Linked DNA regions of Coturnix japonica. The protein of the gene in region 1 binds, or shares a complex with, the protein of each later gene. Links are inferred from orthologs where the notes say so. Each region holds a gene or a part of one and is shown in the gene's direction. Other genes may lie near its edges.

Region 1 (4,301 bases):
AGAAATTTCTTCTCACTCACTGCCCAGGGAGAGGTACAGACACTATCCCTGGAGGCTGTTCCTTGACAGGCTGAGGGAGTTGGGTTTGTTCAGCCTAGAGAAGAGAAGGTTGCGGGGTGACCTCATTGCAGCCTTTCAATACCTGAAGGGAACTTACTCCCAGGAGGGGAGTAAACTCTTCGAAAGGGCTGATAATAGCAGGACACGGGGAAACGGTTTTAAGTTAAAAGAGGGAAGATTTAGATTGGATGTTAGGGGGAAGTTCTTTACTAGGAGAGTGGTTCGGCCCTGGAACAGGCTGCCCAGGGAGGTTGTGGATGCCCCGTCCTTGGAGGTGTTCAAGACCAGGTTGGACGGGGCCCTGGGCAACCTGATCGCCTAGTAAACGCGTTGGTGATCAGATTTGGTGGCCGCTTCAGCTCAGGCGAGGGGGGTTGGAACTACAATGAATCCTTAGAGGTCCCTCCAACCCGGCCGTCATTCTGTCGATTCTGAATTGACGCATACCCAGAACGCCGTGCGCCAGATGTGGTAACTGCAGGGATGGTGGCAATCAGGCCATAGTGCCATGGGTCCGTGGTTGGATATTACGATGAAACACTCATGGCAATCTTTCCAACCTTAACTAATTCCATGAGTCATCTCCTCGCCCAGAATCTACCAACAGAGAAGAACGCACTGGATGGCAGCCAGGCTCTGAAACGCCCTCTGAGATTTCACAGCATTTCCACCCCAAGCACTGATGGACCACATAAGAGGTGCAGTAACACTACAGCAGAGCCCACAGCCATGGTGGTGGGAGATCTGTTACATGAGGGAGCTCTGAGGGTGTGGAGATGAGACACGACCCCCCGAACAACTGTTTTCCCCCCTCAGTTTATCAGTACTCTCGACGTGGGGAGGAGCTGTCCGTCGCTATATTATACTGTTATAAAAAAGGCGAAGTTAAAGGCTCAGATATTGCCGTGGGCACGTAAAACGTAAATAACTGCTGGTTAAAAATTAACCAGCAGTGGTTAAATTAACACACTGGTAAAGGCAGGACGACAGCAAAGCCCACCCAAAGGCTCGGCCCCTGCTCGGTCCCGGCCCATCTCCCCACACCCACCCTCCCCCGCACCTCGCCGCCGCACGCCGGACCGCTTTGAGTCGAGAGCGCAGCCGACGGAATGCGGCGACAGACGGCCCACACACTCTCAAATATGTATCGCCAGGCCCGCCGCTGCAGCTCGTCCGGTGAACAGGTCACGCCTAACCGCAGACACCATCACAACAGCCGCGCGAGGCGCGGCAGACGCAGGGCCAATTGACGAGACGCGCGGGAGCGGGGGAGCCCGAGGAGGCCGCGCGCCGGCGTAGGCCTTGGTAACGCGCGGGCCGCGTGATGCGCGGGTGGACGTGAGGGAGAAGGGAGACCCGTGGCGCCGATGAAGATCGAGGAGGTGAACCGAGCAACCTGCGACAGACGCATCCGCGGCAATCCGCAGCACAACAGCCTGTTAACTGGGCCCTCCGGGGGCTGCGACGAGACGGCGGCACTCCGCCAAACCGGCGGGCCGCCGCGCCTGGTGCGGACAGGAGAACGCGCGGGAGGTGAGAGATGGGCCCCTGCACCTGGCGCACTGCTCGCGGGCTGGCACGGCCGCCGATCATAGAGCGCCAGGCCCGGGCTGTGAGATTCGCCCGTTACTACTCGCTGGATTGTCGGATAAACGATCTACAGGGTTTTAAGGCTCCACTTCAAAGATTGGTGCCCGTGAGGTGGTGCAGGGCCCAGCCAAGTCCGCCTGCTCCGCTCGCGACAGGCCGGGTGGGGGTTTGTCACAGAATGACCCGGGTTGGAAGGGACTGGACTCAAGGATCATGTTTCAACCCCCTGCCGTGGAAGGGCCACGCAAAATCATATATCACCTTTACTAGATCAGGTTGCCCCGCAACAGGTCCGCCGTCAGCAACGCTGGGTCACTTGACAAGCACCTCCAAGGTATGGGGCAGTCCACAACCTCCCTGGGCAGCCTGGTTTCGCAGGGCCCTAACCTGAACTCTCCTAGTGAAGAACTTCCCCCTAACATCCAACCTAAATCTTCCCTCTTTTAACTTCAAACCATTTCCCCGTGTCCTGCTATTATCAGCCCTTTCCAAGAGTTTACTCCCCTCTTGCTCTGTTTTTAGGCTTTGATACCTGCGTGCAGCTCTGCAAGGGGAAAAAGATCCCCAGCTCTTTGGTTTGAGTTCTGTTTGATTTATTTCTTTAATGTGCCAGATACAGGGACTGCAGGAAGTGATTTCTTTCTTACCTCACTCCTATGTATAACATTGAACTGCAGTTTAATTTTGGCACCTCAGAAGATCAGTAGTTCTAAACACTTCTAGTATCACTGGAATTAAATGTATTTTAACAGTACTCTTGTTAATGGTGCCAACCCTTATCCTGCAGGCTTGTGGGGTTATAGTAGAGCTCATCAAAAGCAAGAAGATGGCTGGCAGAGCTGTCCTGTTGGCAGGACCTCCTGGAACTGGCAAGGTATCCTGATATTTTTATTTTCCTTTTCTTGCAAGAAATAAAACCTTCTGAAATCCGCTGTAATTTAACGTGCTGCCACAAGCATTTTAGAATAGCGGTTATATATTGTCTTCATCTGCTGTTGTGTTTTTTTTCCTCCATTAAGGTATTGACACAGTCTCCTGTTTTGTGTTTAATTTTTGCCACGTCATTAGCACTGGCAGCATCCTCTGGTTTGTGCAGCCATCATTAGTGCGAAAGCACCTAATATAGGTTGCCAAACACAGAGGCAGGACAGTTTCTGATTAGTCTTATAAGTTAATTCGATATTAAAAGCCTAAATAGTTATTCTTTTTAGTTGTTTTTCCCTTTCCATCTCATTTCTATAAGATGTTAAATTCAGAAGTCCACTATCATTCCTTTACAGTGTTTATAAGTCATTGGTAGAAGTCACCTTATGCGTGTCTAATTTGTTTTGGTGGGAGATGTTTGTTATATGTGAGAGATGTCAGAGCAGTTATAATATAGTATATATATGTATATATATATATAATACTATAGTATAGTAGTAGTAGTTGATAGAGTGAAGGTGATACGATGAGGAAAGTTAACTTAGTGCAGAAAGAATCCTCATAAAAATGAAATGCTTAATTTCTTTTTCCATTTTTAAAGACTGCCTTGGCTTTAGCTATTGCTCAGGAACTTGGCAGTAAAGTTCCCTTTTGTCCTATGGTTGGAAGTGAGGTCTATTCTACTGAAATCAAGAAAACAGAAGTTCTGATGGAAAACTTCAGACGAGCAATTGGTAAGTTTCAGAAAAACAGAAACGTTTTTATGTGATACTTACATTGTTTTTTCTAGTGATCTGAAAAGGAAAAATCTTGGTGGTCACGGTGGTTTCCAGAACATGATGTGAACTTTTCTTCAATGCTGATCTTAAACTGGGGAATCTCTCCCACACTTAGTAGAGTCAGTAAGGTTTTCTGGATATAAATGCTTGTGTCCCACAGATATTTTTACTTACTCTCCTCCCCCAGGATCTCTTCTTGTCCTCCAGGTTCCACCTCCTGATGCCACCTGTGACACTCCAGAAATCTGAAAGAAAATCTGTTTTTAGTTTCTTACATTAGCAGAAATGCTTATAGACAGCAAAATGCTTTCCCTTGTACTTTAGTGATTCCACCTTGCTGAGCAAGCAGCCTTCTCGAGGGGTTCCCAAGTGGCAGCATTAGCCTGGCTCAGTGTTCCAGTGAGCACAGAGGAAGTTCCATGCCAGCAAAATAAATAATATCTTCAATATCTTCCTCAATTCTAGAGTGCTTTTACAAAGTCAACGTAAATTGGGTAAATTTGCAACGCGACCTCACTAAGTAGTTAAAATCTCTTTTATGATCTCTGCTGACAGCTGATAAATGCGGTTAAAATGGCCCTTGTTTGTGTAAGGATTGCCTAAAGATGACCTAACTGAAAAACTGAACTTATTAACAGTTAATTTCCCTGATTTCTCTGCCGTGTTTCCTCTCTGACTTCATCTGAGTATCTGGGGGTGGTGAAGAGGTCTCTCAGTTCTGCAACCAAGTAAAAGTATTCCATTCATTTTCATAAGAAAAACCTTCAGTAGTCTCTGGTCTAGTTACCATGAATCTGGCAGGGCCTGGGGGATGGAAGCCAAAGACTGAGCAGTCTGCAATATTTCCTTGATGTGATGAAGTACCCTGTCAGAGATCTGGAAACTTGAACCAACAGATGAAACTTCTGCCATCCATGTTGTCATTTCTGGAGATAGCTGGATTTTAAC
Region 2 (4,306 bases), on another chromosome or scaffold:
TTCCTGTCAGCAAAGTGTGAACTGAGGTCAGAATCAGGTCTTCACTATCACTGATTATACAGTTTTACTTTATACATGTTCAGAACAATGAACTTACCTAACTGGTTTTTGGTTATAAAGAATACAATCAGGAAAAATAAAAATAAAAATAAAAGATTTTTATGAACACAAGACACTTCTGTATTCTTAAGTCCTGCCACACCATCCATATGGCATTTCCTATGTCAGATATCTCTTACACTTCCATCTGCTACAACCTTTCATAGCATCTCAAGCTCTTACTGTACACTTACCAATTTCACTTGCACATGAAGAAATAGCAAGTTGGACCTTGCCGTGTATCAGCCCGTCCAGACGCTCTCCATGCCTTTCCACACAGTGGATTTACAGCAGTCTCCTTCCTTCACTGAGGGCTACACAGGCTGGACGTGCAGCATTTCTGTTCTACTCATAATGTCAGCACTGTCTCACACGATGTGTCGTACTCTTTTAGTCCTACTGTTTAAGTGTATTTTGGAACAGCCAGGTTGAGCCGTCTCATCTCATTGATTCTGTTTCCACACCAAGAAGACACACTGCTACTTGCATCCTAAGCTAAAGCACTACTACTACTTGGAAGATGGCACAGAAGGATGAAGCATTCACTTATCATCTTTGGTTAATGTAGCAAGACAGATAATGAAGGTTCCAACAGAATCATAGAATGACCCGGGTTGGAAGGGACCTCAAGGATCATGTAGTTCCAACCCCCCTGCCTGGCAGGGCCACCAAACATACACCTTTACTAGATCAGGTTGCCCAGGGCCCCGTCCAACCTGGCCTTGAACACCTCCAAGGACGGGGCATCCACAACCTCCCTGGGCAACCTGTTCCAGGGCCTAACCACTCTCCTAGTGAAGAACTTCCCCCTAACATCCAACCTAAATCTTCCCTCTTTTAACTTAAAACCATTTCCCCGTGTCCTGCTATTATCAGCCCTTTCGAAGAGTTTACTCCCCTCCTGGCAGTAAGTTCCCTTCAGGTACTGAAAGGCTGCAATGAGGTCACCCCGCAACCTTCTCTTCTCCAGGCTGAACAAACCCAACTCCCTCAGCCTGTCCTCATAGGGGAGGTGCTCCAGCCCCCTGATCATCTTCCTGTCCCTCCTCTGGACCCTTTCCAAAATCTCCATGTCTTTTTTGTACTGAGGGCTCCACACCTGGACACAGCACAACAGATGAGTAGAGCTCAAGCAGGGGACTAACGGGAAATGTCTCCATGAATCAAAATACTATCAAAGATCCGACAACAAGGCAGCCGGTACTGAAGGAAAATGGTCTCATTGCTCCACAGCCACTACGGCCATAACTCCACCTCAGCCATACGCGCCTAACAGCCGCTCTGCTGTACGCATGCGCAGTCGCTGCAGTTGTTTGGAGCCCACAGCGTGAGGCGCAGCCGTTGTGCGTATATTGCTGTGCGACGGCAGCGGCCGGCACTGCGAGCTGGGGATGTCGCGGCGGGAGGAGGAGGAGAGCGCCGAGCTGGGCCGTAAGGAGGAGCTGAGCCGGAGGGTGAGTTATGGAGGGTCTGAGGTGCTGCCCTGCGTCTCATAGTTGTGTGTGGGAAGGAGGAGGGTGTGCTGGAGGCTGAGCTGCGCTGTGGCCCAGGTGAAGGTGTGGGGGAGCTCGAGTGTTGTGAGCCCTTCTGGCGAGTTCCCTTCCCGTTTTTAGTGTTGTGAGATGGGCTGTGTGTGATTAGTCGAAGGAGAATGTGGTTCTCTGGGTTTGTTGAGCAAGTCGTGAGGGAGTTTAGTGAGGAGGCCAGCTTTAAAGCTGGGCTTTTCGTAGTGGCAGTCTTGTCTTTGTTCAGTGTGAGTTCTGTACAGTCCTGGTCAGTTGTCCTCGCATAAAAAGTGACTTTATTCTTCTACACTAATATCGCAATAGATTAGTGTTGTTCTCTAGTTGATTGGTTACATAAGAGACTAAAGAGAGCAACTGCATCAGCACAACACAGCGTATTAGCTGCGTGGCTGAAATGCCTGGTTCTGCTTTGCATCACAAGACTGCACTGTGTTCTTGTCTGTTTCAATAACTATCATAGTATGCTGTTGTAGCTGTTGGTGAAACAGCATTTTCTCAGTTCAGTTTGCCTTATACAGCCCTGTAGTTATTTCCATCTGCGCCAATTCCAGGAGGCAGAAAGGAGGACCGGAGTAAGGTGTGTTCTGTGCTTACAGAAAGTAGTGTGTGTTGAACCACTTTAGCTTTGTGTTTCAGCTTTTTTGATGGGCCCTGATTGCTCTTTGTCTTTAATGGCTCTTTGTCTTTAGTGGCTGACGTTGTCCAGGGAAGCAGGAGCATTGGACTGTTTGTGTCAGTGCAGCTGAACTGATGGCGGTAGATGCAGCATGACAACTTTGTGCTAAAAGTCCAGTGTACTGGAAGTGTTTCTAATTATCTTAATACAGTTTTGGGGTTGTTTTATACATATTTATTTATTTGGGGGGGGGGGGGGGGGTTATTGGTTATGTAGGTTTTTAATTGTTTCATTTACTGTTTTCATTTTGAATCTGGAGAATAAGATTATAAAGTGTATTGTGTAGGTAAATCTTTTCTCTAAGTTGCGTAATCACAGAATTATCAAGGTTGGAAAAGACCTAGAAGATCATCTAGTCCAACCGTTACCAATACTTCCCAGCTAAATCATATTCATCAACACAACATCCAGACGTTTCTTGAACACTCCCATGGTCGGTGACTCCACCACCTCCCTGGGCAGTGCATTCCAATGCCTGACTACCCTTTCTGAGAAGTAATACTTCCTAATGTTCAGCCTGAATCTCCCCTGGCACAGCTTAAAACCATTCCCTCTAGTTCTGTCATCTCTTACATGAGAGAAGAGGCCAACCCCCAGCTCACTACAACCTCCCTTCAGGAAGTTATAGAGAGCTATAAGGTCTCCCCTGAGCCTCCTCTTCTCCAGGCTGACAAATGTTAATAGTTGTTTATACGTTTGTTTTTTTGGGGGAGGTTGAGGGTGAAGTGATTTTGGATTCTGAGCAGCGAGGAGTACTCTGGCTTCCCAGTAATGACTGCTTTGGGGGGATGGGAACAGTGTCAACCATGCAAGATAATTCCCTTCCAAAGCAGTTATTTAGAGTGCTTCATTGTCTTATTGTTGAATTCATAACTTAGATTTCAATAAGAAGTGTGTTAAATGTAATTCAGTTATGTGGTCCGAAGACTTGTTGTATGCTTGGAATAATGGGTAATGAAATTTCTTTTTCATTCCTGTGTCCACTTTCATTTTAGTGGTCTGTTCAGGGCACAGTGACTTATATTTTTATAGCTGTCTTAAAAACATGGGTAAAGATTTTAATCTCCAGGACTGCAACACAGTAGTTTATTGTTGACAATTATATTGAGATGTGTTTTTTCTCTTTCAGATTAAGGAACAGAAGGTTGTAGTTGATGAGCTTTCGAATTTGAAGAAGAACAGGGTAAGCATTAAAGTTTTTTCTGCTTACTTCATTTTAGCATCAGATAAATTTGTATAGAGGCAAGAGGGCAAACAAAATTGCAGTGAGTACATTATCTTTAGTTGTTACACTAAAGATTTTAATGTGTATATGATCTTCTGTATGGTGTCAAAATGTTGTCTACATCGCTTGAGGGTTTACTTACACTTGTGCATTGTAACAGGAAGCTGTCTCAAGGTTTTACTTTAGCACAATTTTTATATTATGATGTTTGAGTGGATCAGTTTATGTTAAAAGCTTCTTTATTTTTCATGTGCATATGATGTAAAACAAAATATGACCCTTTAAGTATGAGGAAAGGAGGAAAATGCAGAATGGTTGTGGGTTGTTCCTGAAATGTTTTGGTGCGACATGAGGACATTGCTCATGGCAGAGAAGGTATCTTTCAGACATAAAAGGGAAGGGTATCTCAGTGGACTTCAGTGAGTTTCTGCTGCAGTGTGGTTGCCTGTGTATGCTACTTTTACTTAATGTGGTGTTGTATTTATTTTACAGAAAGTTTATAGGCAGCAACCCAATAGCAACATATTCTTCCTTGTAGACCGAACAGAAACACTGTCTCAATGCAAAAGTAAGTTTGCTGCACCAAAGGTAATAGTTCAACTGTTTAAAAGCTGTCTCTGTAGCTGTTGAAGATTTCCAAGTTGTAGTACAGTGGGAAAGCTGGCAACTGCATGTTAAATACCAAGTGGACTTCAGTTGTGCCTGCTTTTCTGGGCTGAATGAATGTGGTTCCCACTTGATTTGCATGTGTGGTAAAACAGCATGTGCTGAAGATACAGG

What was found. Proteins that work in one complex are often made in the same cells at the same time.
Region 2: RUVBL1 (region 1) and ASDURF share a complex: the UniProt entries of both Homo sapiens proteins name them as parts of the PAQosome complex. The link is inferred for Coturnix japonica from reciprocal best matches to the Homo sapiens genes RUVBL1 and ASDURF.

The regions. Positions count from the first base shown.
Region 1 is NC_029527.1:7,146,635-7,150,935, forward strand, and holds the start of RUVBL1 (ruvB-like 1), read left to right. Parts: upstream 1-1,342; 5' UTR 1,343-1,593; intron 1,594-2,437; 5' UTR 2,438-2,476; coding exon 2,477-2,524; intron 2,525-3,175; coding exon 3,176-3,308; intron 3,309-4,301. UniProt on the Homo sapiens protein: Possesses single-stranded DNA-stimulated ATPase and ATP-dependent DNA helicase (3' to 5') activity; hexamerization is thought to be critical for ATP hydrolysis and adjacent subunits in the ring-like structure contribute to the ATPase activity.
Region 2 is NC_029522.1:4,422,853-4,427,158, reverse strand, and holds the start of ASDURF (ASNSD1 upstream open reading frame protein), read left to right. Parts: upstream 1-1,423; 5' UTR 1,424-1,490; coding exon 1,491-1,553; intron 1,554-3,430; coding exon 3,431-3,484; intron 3,485-4,018; coding exon 4,019-4,094; intron 4,095-4,306.